Drosophila melanogaster: one gene and its partners. The gene in region 1 interacts genetically with each later gene. Each region holds a gene or a part of one and is shown in the gene's direction. Other genes may lie near its edges. The genes, in order: Pis, Cds and rdgB.

The links.
Region 2: of Pis (region 1) and Cds, changing one suppresses a phenotype caused by changing the other (phenotypic suppression), as found in Drosophila melanogaster (2 studies listed by BioGRID).
Region 3: of Pis (region 1) and rdgB, changing one suppresses a phenotype caused by changing the other (phenotypic suppression), as found in Drosophila melanogaster (one study listed by BioGRID).

Annotation. Positions count from the first base shown.
Region 1 is NC_004354.4:15,700,919-15,705,516, reverse strand, and holds Pis (phosphatidylinositol synthase), read left to right. Parts: upstream 1-1,746; 5' UTR 1,747-1,895; coding exon 1,896-1,947; intron 1,948-2,198; coding exon 2,199-2,333; intron 2,334-2,429; coding exon of another isoform or gene 2,430-2,488; exon of another isoform or gene 2,489-2,704; intron 2,705-2,854; coding exon 2,855-3,008; intron 3,009-3,101; coding exon 3,102-3,253; intron 3,254-3,331; coding exon 3,332-3,513; 3' UTR 3,514-4,066; downstream 4,067-4,598. Other genes in the region: Hap40 (Huntingtin-associated protein 40 kDa), read right to left, coding at 66-924, 1,111-1,289; CG9240 (uncharacterized protein), read left to right, coding at 4,430-4,528. UniProt on the Drosophila melanogaster protein: Catalyzes the biosynthesis of phosphatidylinositol (PtdIns) as well as PtdIns:inositol exchange reaction. May thus act to reduce an excessive cellular PtdIns content.
Region 2 is NT_037436.4:8,126,054-8,132,238, forward strand, and holds Cds (CDP-diacylglycerol synthase), read left to right. Parts: upstream 1-1,708; 5' UTR 1,709-1,801; intron 1,802-1,875; 5' UTR 1,876-2,205; coding exon 2,206-2,316; intron 2,317-3,030; coding exon 3,031-3,155; intron 3,156-3,398; coding exon 3,399-3,495; intron 3,496-3,560; coding exon 3,561-3,737; intron 3,738-3,798; coding exon 3,799-4,287; intron 4,288-4,371; coding exon 4,372-4,503; intron 4,504-4,567; coding exon 4,568-4,780; 3' UTR 4,781-5,622; downstream 5,623-6,185. Other genes in the region: Uba2 (Ubiquitin-like activating enzyme 2), read right to left, coding at 1-901, 958-1,245, 1,299-1,453, 1,508-1,651; Setx (senataxin), read right to left, coding at 5,744-5,881, 5,944-6,185.
Region 3 is NC_004354.4:13,761,132-13,765,855, forward strand, and holds the start of rdgB (retinal degeneration B), read left to right. Parts: upstream 1-1,620; 5' UTR 1,621-1,814; intron 1,815-1,937; exon of another isoform or gene 1,938-1,980; intron 1,981-4,724. UniProt on the Drosophila melanogaster protein: Catalyzes the transfer of phosphatidylinositol (PI) and phosphatidic acid (PA) between membranes. May control phosphatidylinositol concentration in transport vesicles from the subrhabdomeric cisternae (SRC) to the rhabdomere.

The DNA of each region.
Region 1 (4,598 bases):
TCATTCTCATTCAGTGGTAATGATCCAGTAGTAAATAATGTACAGTACGATCTTAGGTCTAAAATCTAGTAGCTTCGGGCCAGTTCTGCATGCATCACCGCCAGCAGCTGCCTTTCCATGTCGCTCAGCGATCCAAATTCGGCTCCAAAGTCGCGCAGCAGGTGCTTTAGATCGCACATTTTACGCTCCACCCAGGCGCACGTAATCTCCGCCAGCGCATACTGCTGCTGTTCGGGCACAAATGCTCCCGGACGCTCCGCGGATCCACCGTCGTCCGCCGAACAGGGGAGCGACTCGAACTGCGCCAGGTTGTAGTAGTACTCGATCAGCTTGATGTGGGCGGGTGACTGGCGTGCGGGAGGCAGGTTCAAATGGACTAGGAGCAGCAGACGCAGCACCTCAACGCGCCGCAATAGTTCACCGTACATGCGAGCACCGCGTCGCTCGTAAACATTGTCCACAATGTCGTCGTAATGCTGCAGTGCACTGCGAAAATCGCCGCGCTGGCCACTCGTTTCGGCGCTGATTTCCAGGTCATGGATCTGATGGGTGGGCGAGGCAAAGCTGCTGGTGCTGTCCAGCTGCCGCTGCAGCTGCTTCAACTCGCGCAGAATGGCCGCCTTGAAGACGCAACCGTCCACCGCTCGATCCGCCGCACGGTGATAGCAGTGCACCGCTCCCTCCCGAAATCCCGAGTGGCGGGTGCGCAGATGCAGTCGCCCGGACTCGTTGTGCGCCGCTAGGAAGGATCTAGCTGCCCGCAGATAGGCCTCCGATTCGCGCTGCGGTGCGCCGCCGTAGGACTCGCACTTGGCATAGCCAATGTGGCACATGGCCGCATACTGCTGTATGCCCGACTCCTCGAAGCTGTAGGCCAGTCGCTGGAAGTCCGCCTGCACATCGACCACGCTGGGCGCAAAGCGTCTGGGAATTAGAGAAACAGTGGAGTATTGAGATTGTATTCCGTGATTCGAGGGCTTCTAATACACCCGTATTTCTAAACATAGTTTGAAGATGGAGGAAAAGCGATAAATTGGGCAATGACTTGCTAATCAAACGCAATGATCTGCAAGGTATCTGATTGCCCATACTTGGGCCGTAGCTACTCACTTGAAGAAGCCGGCCCGCTCGAACTTCTTGATCTTGCTGGAGGCCCTTAGATATTGCTCGATCAGGTTTTTGGGGTACTGATACTGCTCCAGTTGGTGGTGCTCATGGCCCGGAGCCGTCGATGGCGCGCCGCTGGAGGATCCGCCGCCGCCCAGACTGCCGCCGCGGAGTTTATCCATGCTACAGCATGTGGTTCTCCGCGCAGGTTACTTCGGGTCGCGCTACTTGTGCATTATATTTTCGCCTGTATTGTGTTTTTATTATTATTTGTGAAAACTTTATCGCGGGCGGTGTGACCATGCCATGTCCCGCTGAGGAATATACTAGCTTAGAAGCGGTATGCAAAGATCCATTTACACTGCTCAACGGCAGCGAAAATGTATCAAAACGGCACGCAAATCGCTGTCAAAACTCATTTAACAAGCAACTACACTAGTTGCCCGGTTTTGGTAGCTCATGTTAATAATCTAGTGACCTTTAATTTGTATTTGATACATTTAAAATGATATACTAATTACTAAATTTCTATTGGAAGAGAAAAATAGAAACTAGAAACAGATGTGTGTCAGTGGAAACCATCTGAAATCTTGTTGGCCAGTATAGTTCGGTATTTTCTCTCAAGTCTTTGTTTGTTTTTTCCAAAGGTCACGCTGCGGTCACACCAGATACAGCAAATTCTGTTTCCACTGTTTTTTCTGCAGCACTTTTGGCATTTAATTGGATAAAAACAAGCCGCAAAGCTAGAAGATCGCAAAATAAACGAAAAACCAAAGTGGCGAAACAAAATGACAATTGCCGAGCACGATAACGTCTTCATCTTTGTGCCAAATCTGATCGGTGAGTGGCTGTTTGTAGGTTTTATTCCGTGCTCCAGCTAGGTAAACAAATCGCATGTTCGATTTATGCGGCGCAATAATAGCGATTCTAGTGTTCCCTAATTGGATTAATAGGGGCTGTTTGGCAGCTAGTGCAATGCGAAGCGCAAGTTCAGCGATAAGAGCCGCTTCGTCCAACCCAATTGAGTCACCTCCAATGATTCTATACGTATGATGCACGCATATGTGCTGATTTATATTGATCTTTTCCAGGCTACGCCCGCATCGTTCTGGCCCTGATCGCCTTCTGGTTCATGTCCACCAACTATGTGATCTCCGGCTGGTGTTATGTAACCTCCGCCCTCCTGGACGCCGTCGATGGACAAGCAGCCCGAGCCTTTAACCAAAGTAAGCATTAACCATGCGATCGCCCTTGATATCGAAATGCCAGCTCATGCCAGCTATATGTCTGTATTTGATTTGTGCGCGCACTTTGGCCGCTAGCGCATTGCAAACACCTGTCTCCTCCGTACTGGTTATCTGCCGATATTGTGGAATTGTAGGCACGCCCTAAAGAGCCCGATATGGTCACGGCTATCCAGCCAATCGATGGATGACGTGGGGCTGAAGAATAGATAGAAAGCATGGCTAATATTGCCTTGGAACTATGCAATGTAGTTAGCAATATAGGAGGAAAAACATTAGGATAGAAGCCTTCTAAGAAACAAATTGCAGATACCATGCAATGTTTATGATATAGTAGTGTAGCAAACTGAAAGGTATGATCTTGCACTTGGATTTGTTGTATGCTAGCAGGATGATTTAGAGTCTTAACGAAAGGGTACTCCAACCAAAATATGTATATCAAAATATTAGTAATTATCATATGGTACTATGGAATCTTTACTAAATACTCGATTACCTCACAGGCACTCGCTTTGGCGCCATGCTAGACCAGTTGACCGATCGCTGCGGCACCACCGGCCTACTGGTCACCCTGGCCTACTTCTATCCCCGGTACATGTTCTGGTTCCAGCTGTCCATCGCCATCGACGTGGCCTGTCACTGGCTCTTCATGCAGACGTAAGTGGGGCAGGGGAAAGAGCAAGATGCTGGACGTCTGGACTGTCAAGGAATGGAAGGAAACTAATGACTCGTGGCTTTGTCTTTTTGCAGGAGCGTTGTGGTCGGACGCAGCTCGCACAAGGTGAATGACAACTTCATAATGCGATTGTATTACCAGAAGGACATACTCACATTCATGTGCTGCGTCAATGAGCTGTTTTACGTGTGCTTGTACCTCTTGCATTTCACCTACGGCCCGCTGAGTGAGTATACGCACACGCACATGCTTTGCATTTCAGCTGGCGAAACGTATCTAATCCGTTGATGGACTTCAATTGCAGTATTCGGCGCATCGCTCTTCAAGATACTCGCCTTCCTCACGGGTCCCTTTGCCGTGCTCAAGGCCCTGATCTCGGTGATGCACGCCTACGTGGCGGGCATCGATCTGGCGGCCGTGGATGTACGCGAGCGGCAGGAGCGGCGCCAGAAGTCGGAGCCGGTGAGCGGCAAGAAAGTGGAGTGAAAATGGGATGCGATCCGGGATCAATCTTCCAGCGACAGTTCTATCAACAGAAAGTACTAAATGAAACAACTCTTGATTCCAAGCTAAAAAAACAGAATTTTGAAGACGAATTGCGATCAGATGAAATATGGGCATTAGGCAACCAAATAGGCCGTAGTAGGAATTTAATTTATTTTTAATGCGCTATTGCAATGATTGTTGATTTTATTTGATATATTTTAGTTAGACGGGTGGTGAAATCACCCGACAATTTGTATTTAATAGATTTTTGAATTGAAATTTAAGCGATTCGTTCCAGTCAGTAGCTGTTGCATATTTATTTTGCCTTTAGTTAGCGTAGTTTACACGCTATATATGTATATATATGCCAATGCGTAAATGCAGGCCGATATACTATGAATGAGTGTCTATTTCCAGGATTTATCTCACTGTGCACGTTTTGGGTTTGACTAACCACCTTGTCCCAGCAACTCTCTCAATGTAACTAATGTATTTCTAATCGTAAGTTAAAGAATGTAATTGGAGACCTGCATGAAATATATACGACAAATGGATGTTAGATGTATTTGAAACATTAACATATATGTACCATACATGCCAGGCCTGGCAGACTTAGTCAAAATTGAAAAGTGAAAATAAATATATGTGGTTCTATGCGCTAAATTTTAGTTTAACCTTTTGGGCCATCGATTTTTGAAATTTGCGCCACACAAAATTTATCGTTAGACATCAAAATTATCGTTGGCACATCCCTGGCTGGCCGCTCAGCTGCGCCGCCTGTGCAGCCCTGATTTTTACACAACATAAACATTCGATTTTGGAGGAGCTCTTTTTTCGAGAGAATACCAGGTCGTTGGACACGGGAGATGCTCTGATTAGGGGCGCATGTGGAGCAGCCAACGCCGGAATCGCCGACATGAAAATCCTCTCCCGTCTGGGTCGCCTGATGCGCTACACGGTGGCCTACGCGGCAATCACACACTGCACCTTCGAGTACATTGGCGATTTCGTCCTGGTAAGGCGTCTAGGATGAAGTTCCTGGGCGGGTATACTTGCCCAACATGTGCCAGCATCACATAGTTCGT
Region 2 (6,185 bases), on another chromosome or scaffold:
AGTCACATCCGGATTCAACATGTTGAGCGTCTTAACCAGGACCTCGTCACGCAGCTCCTTTATACGCATGCGCTTCGTATCGATCTTGAGAGTAATGGCCGGATCGCTGGCGCATACATGGCAATTGGGATTGGGGCCAGGAAGAGAAGCGTCCGGTACAAGGAAGTGATTTCGTGCATTTGGTCTAAGTCGGGCATAGACGGCCTTGCACTGCTCCCACTTGGCCTCCAGCACTTTGAAAGCCCGCATCACGGAAATTCCCGCCGTAATCGCATTTGTGGTGGCAATAGCAGGAATAATGTTTCCCGCCATTGACTTAATCTCGAACCTTGACTTTCGCTCAATGTCGAAAATGTGGGATCGCACGTTGGCGCAGGCCGCCACGAAATCCATGGCTGGCTGGTCGTCCTTGTCCCAAGCCAGAGTATCGTCGCCTTCGAGTTTCAGGAAGTTAGCGCTCAACTCTTTTAATGAATTGGCAAAGACCTGAGCGCACTCCTCGATGGACCACACCTTGTGATGCTGCTTGGCCACATCCTTCTGATCACCGGAGGATCCTTCGGGCAGCAGGGTATCCCACTGCACGGGCACGGGTGCCTTGCGGGTCTTCCACAAATTCGACATACGCAACAAATAGGTAATGTCCTCGTTAAAGAACTTGTTGAACAGCTTGCCCGCATCATAGTTGCAGTCCTTGGCCCATTGGCGAGTATTAATGCGCATTATGTTGCCGTTGGCAGTATCCTCCTTGGCCTCCTTTTCCTCTTTTGACTCTTCGCCTTTTTCCTTCCCATCGCCTTTGGGCTCGCCATTTCCATCGCCGCCGTCTTTTTCTTTTGCATCGGGATCAGCAGCATCAGGAGAAATATCCTCATCTTCCAAGGACTCACCAAACAGTTGACTGCAAATAAATCAATAGATTTGCTGCAATTTAGACTAATTATTAGGTATACTCACTTAAAGAGATGCTTGGCCCAGACAATGCAGTGAATCGGTTCGGAGGGCGTATTGCGTATGGTGCAGCCCGGGAAGCTTCGCTGTTTGTCTTTTGGAGTGCACTCGTAGCACTGGGTGAGTCCACGCTTGATCAGTTCCACCTGGCCATTGTAGCCGGCGGTGCCGCTCTCGATCAGCGGGACATCCGCATTGAGGCACATGCGATTTACATGATTCCTGGCGGCCCTGTTGTCCAAGGCGCTGAGCACCAAATCGAACTTCTTAAAGAAGTTGACGCCATAATCAGTACTAAAAGGTATGTGTTGTTAGCAAGATGTAAAGGCAAAGCTATCCCAACTTACGATGTTACACTGTCGTGGTAAGCGGTTATCTTAGCGTCCGGATTGAAGCTCAGTGCGCTTTCCCTAGCCACCCGTGCCTTAGATTTTCCAACGTGCTCGCGATGGAATAGGAACTGTCGGTTCAAGTTGCTAAGATCAATTGTGTCCAGATCGATCTGGGTAACGTTTATAAATTAATAATATGGAATACTTTTTTCGAAAAAACTTACAATTTCGATGTCTGTAAAGCCGCTAAGCACAAGGTTTTTGAGCACCTCGCAGCCGATTCCGCCGGCGCCCACGACCAGCACCTTGGACTTCTTTACCAGCTCCTGCAATGTGGGTGGGAAAACACCATTGATAGCTGCTGCCATTTTCTGAATTTACGTTTTCCTTTTTCTTATTTTTGGCGAGAAAATTGCAAAATTGCGATACGGAAAAGCCGAGAAAAGTGACGCCGCCGGTGCAGGTGTTGGGAAACGTATAAAGCTACGGATATTCTCTACCAGGGATGGCTGATATGGGTGACTCTTATTATCACTTAAATTAACTTTTCTAGTATTATTAATATATTTTATTTTACATATTACGACAAAAGTCACCGTTAATTGCACAGAAAAAGAAAGTTCTTTTAAAAGACATCAAACATTTTCTGTCCGAAAAGTCAACTTGTAAAACCTAACAGCAATTGAGCATACTTGCCAACACTTTTGCTCCACCAGCCCACTTTGCGCAAGCTGGGCACACTGCATGCTGGGCTAATCAGAAATAGAGAAAAGCATTTTAATTCGGACGAAGTCGACATACGGATCACGCAGCACGGGTCACGGCAAACGGCAAACGCGGAGAGCGGAACACGGACGAGAACTGCTCAAGCGGAATCAATAGGAATCAATACATTGTGAATAGATCTGGCGAACATCGAATAATGGCCGAAGTGCGACGCAGGAAGGGCGAGGATGAGCCACTGGAGGACACGGCCATCTCCGGATCTGACGCAGCCAATAAGCGCAACTCCGCCGCCGACTCCTCGGACCATGTAAGTAGCAATGACTTGTATGTGGAGCAGCCGAGCGGCAGCTGTTCCGGACACCAATTTGCATAATTCTTGGAGCATAGAAAAGCCAATGTGTGTATACCAACAAATGTGTGTGGCTATGTGTTTTTGTTATTCTCTGACGCACAAGCAGGTGGGAGAAAGAAGAGAGAGCTCTCTCCTGGAGAAAATCCAATAACAAACACAAAACACACCACTAGCCAGCCAGCCTGCCTGCCACCCAACCACCCACCTGCTGTGTTGCAATATAGCGCCATTATGACCAGCAAATCCAATTAGATGGACTACGCCAATTAGGGAAGCACTGGGCCAAGAACCCAGAGCCGAAACCATTACCATGACCAGACTCCCTTTCTGGCTTGGACTTTTTTTGTTATTGCTGGGTGATAATGCCTCCTTATCAACCAAGCTATTTGGCAACAAAACACGCCACCCAAAAAAACCCGCAATTTTTCTCCCCACTTGGTTCCCCTCTCTATTTTATGTGCCTGTGTATTGGATAAACGAGTGATTCTGATTATGGGTATATAGGCACATACATACACGTATCATGGACTTTGCTCGGCGTCGTCCAATAGAAAGTATTTAAACCCTGCACTCCGGTCGTATCGAATCTGATAGGAAACCTACTTTGCAGTCCCAGCCAATGCAATCAATAAGTGAATTTTCCCTTTCCCTTGCTCCTCCTCCTGCCAGGTGGACTCCGAGGAAGAGAAGATTCCCGAGGAGAAGTTCGTCGACGAACTGGCCAAGAATCTGCCGCAGGGAACCGACAAAACGCCCGAGATATTGGACTCGGCCCTCAAGGATCTGCCGGATAGGTATGTGAAACAAATCCATATGCGTAGTTGGGATCTTTAAAGATCATGATGAATAGCTAAAGGTCGATTTGGAATTGATGATTCAAAAAATATTTTATTGAAGTGCGAATTTTATAAATCCGACAGAATGAGTATGAGTGCGTTCCAAAAATAATCCATATCCACAGCTGTCTACAGTTGGCGAGCAAATATTAAAAGTAAATATGTACAATTACAAACAATTATTTTTTGCGCATTCCACAGATGGAAGAACTGGGTGATTCGCGGCATCTTCACATGGATTATGATCTGCGGCTTCGCATTGATCATCTATGGTGGACCGCTGGCCTTGATGATCACGGTAGGTTTAATGGAATTCGCTTAAACGAGTCTTCAAATAATCGTTGTCCTACTTTCTCTTTGCAGACGTTACTGGTGCAGGTGAAGTGCTTCCAGGAGATCATCTCGATTGGCTACCAGGTTTATCGAATTCATGGCTTGCCCTGGTTCCGAAGCCTTTCCTGGTATTTCCTGCTTACCTCAAATTACTTCTTTTACGGAGAGAATCTGGTAGACTACTTTGGCGTTGTAATTAATCGGGTGGTCAGTAAATAATACAATAACCTGATTATATCGCCTGGTAAATATGCAATTTCATCTACAGGAATATCTGAAGTTCCTGGTGACCTATCACCGGTTCCTTTCCTTCGCCCTGTACATCATCGGGTTCGTTTGGTTCGTGCTCTCACTGGTGAAGAAGTATTACATCAAACAATTCAGCCTGTTTGCCTGGACCCATGTATCCCTGCTGATTGTCGTCACCCAGAGTTACCTCATCATACAGAATATATTTGAGGGGCTCATTTGGTTCATCGTACCTGTTTCGATGATAGTGTGCAATGATGTCATGGCGTACGTGTTCGGTTTCTTCTTTGGGCGCACTCCCCTCATCAAGCTCAGCCCCAAGAAGACCTGGGAGGGCTTCATCGGGGGTGGCTTCGCCACCGTCCTCTTTGGCATTCTGTTCTCGTATGTGCTGTGCAACTACCAGTACTTTATCTGTCCCATCCAGTACTCGGAGGAACAGGGACGCATGACAATGTCCTGTGTGCCAAGCTATTTGTTCACGCCCCAGGAATACAGCCTTAAATTGGTAAGTGATAATGTATTTCTATGGAGTTATGGGTTACCGATTTGTTGTGCTGATAGCTACAGTAATAATTTTTTTCATTTCCAGTTTGGCATTGGCAAGACTCTAAATCTTTACCCCTTTATCTGGCACTCGATCTCCCTGAGCCTGTTTAGTTCCATTATTGGACCCTTTGGTGGCTTCTTTGCCTCTGGATTTAAGAGAGCTTTCAAAATTAAGGTAAGTAATCTTTTCGGAACACAGGTCTTTTCAATGTAACGCAACACACCATCTTGTTTTGCAGGACTTTGGCGACATGATACCCGGACATGGCGGCATTATGGATCGTTTCGATTGTCAGTTTCTTATGGCGACCTTCGTTAACGTTTATATATCCAGCTTCATCAGAACTCCGTCGCCGGCTAAGCTGCTGACACAGATTTACAACCTTAAGCCAGATCAACAATACCAAATTTATCAGTCCCTCAAGGACAACTTGGGCGACATGTTAACCTAAACTTGATCGGTTACCAGTAAGATTCGGACAAGACGTTTGCTGAGTCGTACGTTCTATATGTAATGCAGAAATTTCTATATATATACATTGATATATATCTGTAAGCAAACGGGCCGGCAGTTTGAGCAGCCACATAAAATAAGTTAATTACGGGCATAATTTTTGTTATGTTATTAGTCCTTAGTTAGATTTTGTTGCTACATTTTAGTTAAATTCTTAAGTTAGTTTTTATTTTATCTTGCATTAAGTTATTGCGATTGTTTTATTTGGCAGAACTCTACACAGTGCAATCGTATTGTTAAGCGATTCCATTAATTTTAATGCCCTCGTGACAAGGCGTCAAGGCAAGGCAAACAGAATAACTATGAATTTAATATCGACTATGTGTGTGTGCGTGTTGTTAGTGAATTTAATTACGATAACTATAGCTTAGAGATGATCAGGCAGACAACGCCAGAATCTGGAGATTAGCATAATTAAAGCGCATTTTAGTTAAATACCTGAGGGACGAAATTATGAGATCAAGATACCAGGAAAACTCTTGCAATGCTGTAATTCTATATATAATAGTGCAATATGCAGACGTTAAATAATTGATTTAACCATTTCAATATTTATTTATTTACTTTTATTCGGTCATACACTACGCCATGCATAGTGCAACATCCTCAACCCGTGAATCTTTCTCAAAAAGTACATAGATGATATATAATCGGTTACTTATAAATCCTGTTATACTGTACGGCATTTAAGAACGAAAATGCAATTCGTCGGCGTTTTAAAGAACTAAATGTACAAAGATTTCAATATTAAATCTTACAGTCTCTATGTTAAATATATATAAAAATAACAAAGCCTTTTTTTAAACAATGTGGGAAGCGCTTCTCTTCCATGGCACTTGTGATATCTTAGCATCTAAAAGGTAGTTTTAATCTCATTAACTAATAGGGAACGTTGTGTCCCCTAAATTAAGTTGATAGTATTCACCATCATCTTTTTGATTAAGGAACGGTCTAGGTCGTTCACATCATCGCGGTCCAAATTGAAGTAAACTTTCCTCTTGCGAGCATCATCGAGAAGGTTGCGCCACATTTCAACAGACTACAAAATTAAGAAAAGTTCATAAAAAACATGTTTTATTTCAATTAAATCTGGATACTGACTTTTAGATCTTCAAAATTGCCACATATGACTAGACAACGACGCGGTCTGGTCAGCGCCACATTAAGTCGCTGATAGTTCGTTAGAAAGCCACAGCCGCGTGTCCTGGCATTTGAAATTATTATCACATCCTTTTCCAATCCTTGATACGAGTCCACAGTCTGAGGAGTTATATTCATGTGACTGGGAATAACCTGGCTTAGCGCGTAACACTGGTTTTGGTACGGCGAAATTAATCCATAGC
Region 3 (4,724 bases), 1.9 Mb from region 1:
ATAAAATCCCATAAAAATAAAAGCTGCAAATTTTCGAAAAGTCAAGTTTTTTAATAGCAATAGCAATGGTTATTCTGGATTGGATTCTAACTTTTATGGTATTAAAAAACACACACAAGAATTTGCTGGGCACATTTTTAGGCACCCCTTCTGAAGTAAATAGAAAAATTTCCGAAAATATACATATTTAACATAGTAAATCGGCCAAACAACTTAAATGAGCTAATAATAAAAAGATAAATGCATATATCACAGGTGATCTTAAGCAGATGCTTAACCAAAAAACAACACGATAAATAAAGCAAACAAAAAGTGCCTAAAATACAATTATGATACCTAATGAAAGGTACACGAAAGAAAATGTAGATAATAAATAAACTGAAAAGAAATTAGGAATAACTCATAAAAATCAAAATTTAGAAAACTGTGCAGCTTGGTATTTACTAGCACCCTAGATGCTTAACAGGATTGCGAAGTTGGGATGGAAATACGCACAAGGAGATGGATGCATTGAGTGGGCGGAAGTGAGAGTGAGGCAACTAGTGTCCGTTGCCATTTGATGTGCACTCAATTAAAATTTGCATTCGGTTTATCGTTAGTGACTACTCGTTCAAAAATCACTGGGCAACCTGTGTAAACTCAATTGTTCCTTACAGTTTTGGGACATGCGCGGTGTAAATGTCAAAGTTGAACTTTATCAAATGCAATAGACAAACTAGAAAGGGCAGCGAAAACAGCAGAGTCGAAAATAGAGCGAGATAGGGAGCTGGAGTGACAGGAGCGGAATGACAACAGTTGGCGTCTTTTGTTTGTGCATGTCGTGACATGTTTGCTTTGACTCTGACCGAACGGAATGCGCCGTTAAGCTTATCTTCTTACCGTACACTTAGAGCGTCTTCTCTCTCTCTCTCTCTCACTATTTGCCCTTCAGCGTTTGTTCTTCTTTTTGGGCTTGGCAAGCTCTTGCTCTCGCTGCTTTTCTCCAGAAGAGAGCGCACAAGGACGCCGGGACGTTGGCATTTTGTGGGGTTCTGGCCATCCGAGTTTCTTGCAGAAATTACTGTATATTATTCATTGGCCGATATGCATAAATCCAATTTACGAAACCCCCCCTTTTCAGCCTAGCCAGCTGAGTGTCCCCGCAAAAGGAGAGAAAGGCAAAGAGAGTGAGAGTGACGCTTTCTCGCGCGCTTTTGTTGCGCACAAATAAAGTAAGGGGTTTTCCGCGAATCGTCAGTTGAGAATTGAGAACTGAACTGACCGTTTTCAGAAACGGTGGCGTTTTAACTTTTTTGTTATTTAATTAGTCCTTAAATAGTCCTTTTCTAAAATGTACTTAAAACATGTATGTATATGTAATGTAGAAATAGTTTTTTAATATCTAAGCAAAAATTATCCAGATTGCAAATATGTACATACATACATATGTATTTATGTATATACTAGTATACTTTTTATGAGTCTGGCGATTTTGCGGTGATACTCATTTTCGGAACGCCTCGCTCTCTCCGCTCATTTCTCTTGGCTTTGCTTTTGCTTTAGCTTCGTTTGCTTTTCGGCGTTCGTTCAGTTCAGCGTTCGGCGTTCCGTTCAGTTCATTTCGGTTTGGTTCATCTTACTTCAGTTCGGAATCAAACGCGAGCCGAGTCGCAATCGCAACTTTGCCGCCGCGCAGCGCACGCTGTTTTTTTTTCAGTGTGTACGTTTTGATTGCAAAAAGAAATAAGCAAACGCAAGGCAAGCAGCAACAACGCTGAAAACATTTTTCATCTGCGGCCTGGAAAAGCGCCCCGAAGAAAATGAATAGATAAATTGTATTAATCGCCCAATCGAGTCAGCATATATCCACTGTATATTTATATTTTGTTGTGCGTTGTTCGTTGTTTTTTTTTCTCCTTTGCGCTTTGGACCTTACTCTTTTGTTGTTAATTGTCCAGCTGCCCGCAATGATAATAATGTGAGTTGGCCCGCCGAAAGTTGGTACGTTTTCCACTGCTGCTCTTTTTTCACCTTTGTTTGTAACAAATGGAATAGTTTACAACAAAATTCGTAAAATTAGTTAAGGATACTTCGGTTGTCGTGTGTGTGTGTGTGTGGGTGGCAGCTGCGTAAATGCGTAAGCTGCGTCGCGTTTGTGTAAGTGTGTGTGTGTTGGCTGTGGCCAGGTCTCAAGGTCCCGTTAGCTCTCTCCCACCGCTCTTCCTGTTTCACGCTTTTGCTCTCTTTTACAAACAACAACAAGTCTGTGATAAGAATTTTCCATGCGTAATTTTCACGTAAAGCTTTGTTTTGTTATGTTTGGTACTTTTGCACTTTTATAAATCGGATAAAGTTTATTACAGTTCAGCGTTTTAAAAAGTCTTTTATAGCCATCTTAATGATTGATTTTTTAAAGTATTTTTTAAGGAATTTAAGTCAAATTAAAAATAAAAATATTAATTTATAACTATTTCTTTAAAAAAATGCTTTAATCTAAAAATGATAAATTTCTTAAGAATAATATTGTTAGAAATGTTTTCATTATGAGTTCATAAAAAATAACTTTTTTTGGTTAATGTTCCATAAATAATTTTTTACACATTTCATTATACTAAAAAAATAGGAACTTAACTCAGATGAAAAATAAAAATATTTATTCGAAAGCACTGCTCTGGAATTTATAACCATTGGTTTTTGAAAAAAAGTCTTTAATCTTAGAAATTATGAATTTCCTATGATTAATATTTTTAGGAATGTACATTTTTCATAAATGAGTCTATAAAAGATATCTTTGTACAAAATAAATATTATTATATAGGCCCTTTTTGAGATGAACCCAAGAAATACGTTTGTTGTGTTCTTATTTTTGCTGCTTATTGTATTTATAAATTATTAATAAGCACAAAGCGTGCCACAGGTGTGCACGAAGGAGTGAGCGAGACGGGGAGAGTGGGTGAGAGCCAAAGAGAGAGTACGTGACCTTTTTTTCTTGCTCTTTTCCGTCTAATTTAGCTCACTAAACTTGAGACTCGGATTTAATAGGCTTTCTTTCAACCTTTGCTTTCTTTGCATCCCAACCCGTCTATTTCTGTCTCTGTCTCGCGTTCATTTATTTCCGCTTGAGTGCGTTTTCTGTTGTTGTTGCTTTTCTTCGTTTTATTACCTTTTTTTGCACATTTTTCTACACCTTTTTTTTTATTGTATTGCTTGGTCAATTACCATGGCAATTTATTTATCAGTTTGGCGTTTTTGATGTTGCAACAATTGCGCAAATTTATTTCCTCTATTTTCACTATTTGAGCTTCTGTCTGGCAGACTTAATAACAAAAATGGTTTTGTGCATAAAAGCGTGGAATTTTACCCATCTTCATCTTATGATTTTACACGGAGAGAAAAGTATATCAAGCAATCTTAAAAATAATTTAAATATCAGAGTGGACATGGATAAAATGTGCATTGTGTTAATATATTTTAATAATATTAATGAATGAAAATATTTGTGATATTGCTCTTACTTTTCTCCGTGTGCATACCCTTGCTTTACCCTTTGGTCACATCATAAACAAAAATTTTTTAAATGACAAAATACATCATAAACAACCACATTGAAGGCTACGTGCACTTTGGCCGGATCTTTTATAGCCAGCACATGTGTGCGTTTGTAATTTGTTTATTGATGCACAGTGGGCCGCTTTTTCATCTCCGGGCTGCTATATCATTTAAAAAAAAAGGTGTTTTCTAGTCTAGATTTCTCGAATGCCCCCCGCCAAATAAGAAGACTTTAAGCGAATCGTAAATAATGTCCATTTTTTTATAAGCCCCATAAAGGAAGCTCCATTGTAATAAATCTTATCGCTGCAAAGTTTTTTCTCATCGTGAATATTAACATTTCTTATCACTTTTAACTGCAGGTGCTTTCTTCTTATATGAACTTTACTTGTGTTCTCTAAAAGTCGTAAAAATGTACATACATATGAATATTAAATTGGGAAAAGTAATTGCAGTTGTAAACAAAACCTAGCATTCTTCATATAGTGCTAACTGCACATTGTTACTTTCGCTAGCTTAACAGAAATTTTTTACACCAAAAAAGTTGTTTCACAACTTTAAAACAGTGGAAGATACATGTTTTCGTTATGAAATTATCTGTTTTTCTTATATATAGGACACACTTTCGATAACCTTTGACCCAGTGTAGCAAAGAAAATCTGTTGGCGCATTTTCTGTGTCACAAAATGTAATTATGCTAAGGAGGCAAAAAAAAAAAACAGAAAAATGGTGATGTGTGGAGGCTAACGGGGGGTGGAGAGTGCTAGGCGAAAAGGGGGCGTGGCATGGCAGGGGGAAGGGGGCCTAAAGCGGTGGCCATATTGTTGGGGCTTACGATTCGTTACGGCCTGCCATGTAACTGCCATGACATAAACATGTGCATGTCTGTGTTCGTTTCCCCTTCCCCCACTGCCCGCTGTGCCCAATAATTATTGATTGACGGCCCTCCTTTATTGTGCCTCTTATTTTAGCATCTAGAACATCCCGCCCCCTCCCCCATTTCCCCAACAATGTCTATCCAGATCTTATTAGGATCAAACCATATATAACTACAAACTAATGAAACTATGCCATAATATAATTACATATATCAAAAGCTTCTTTTTAGTAATTTCATATAGAATGAATGTATTGTATTATGTATTAGATATTCTGTAGCTTGTTTTTCTTAATCTCATAGTAAATAGGGAAATCTA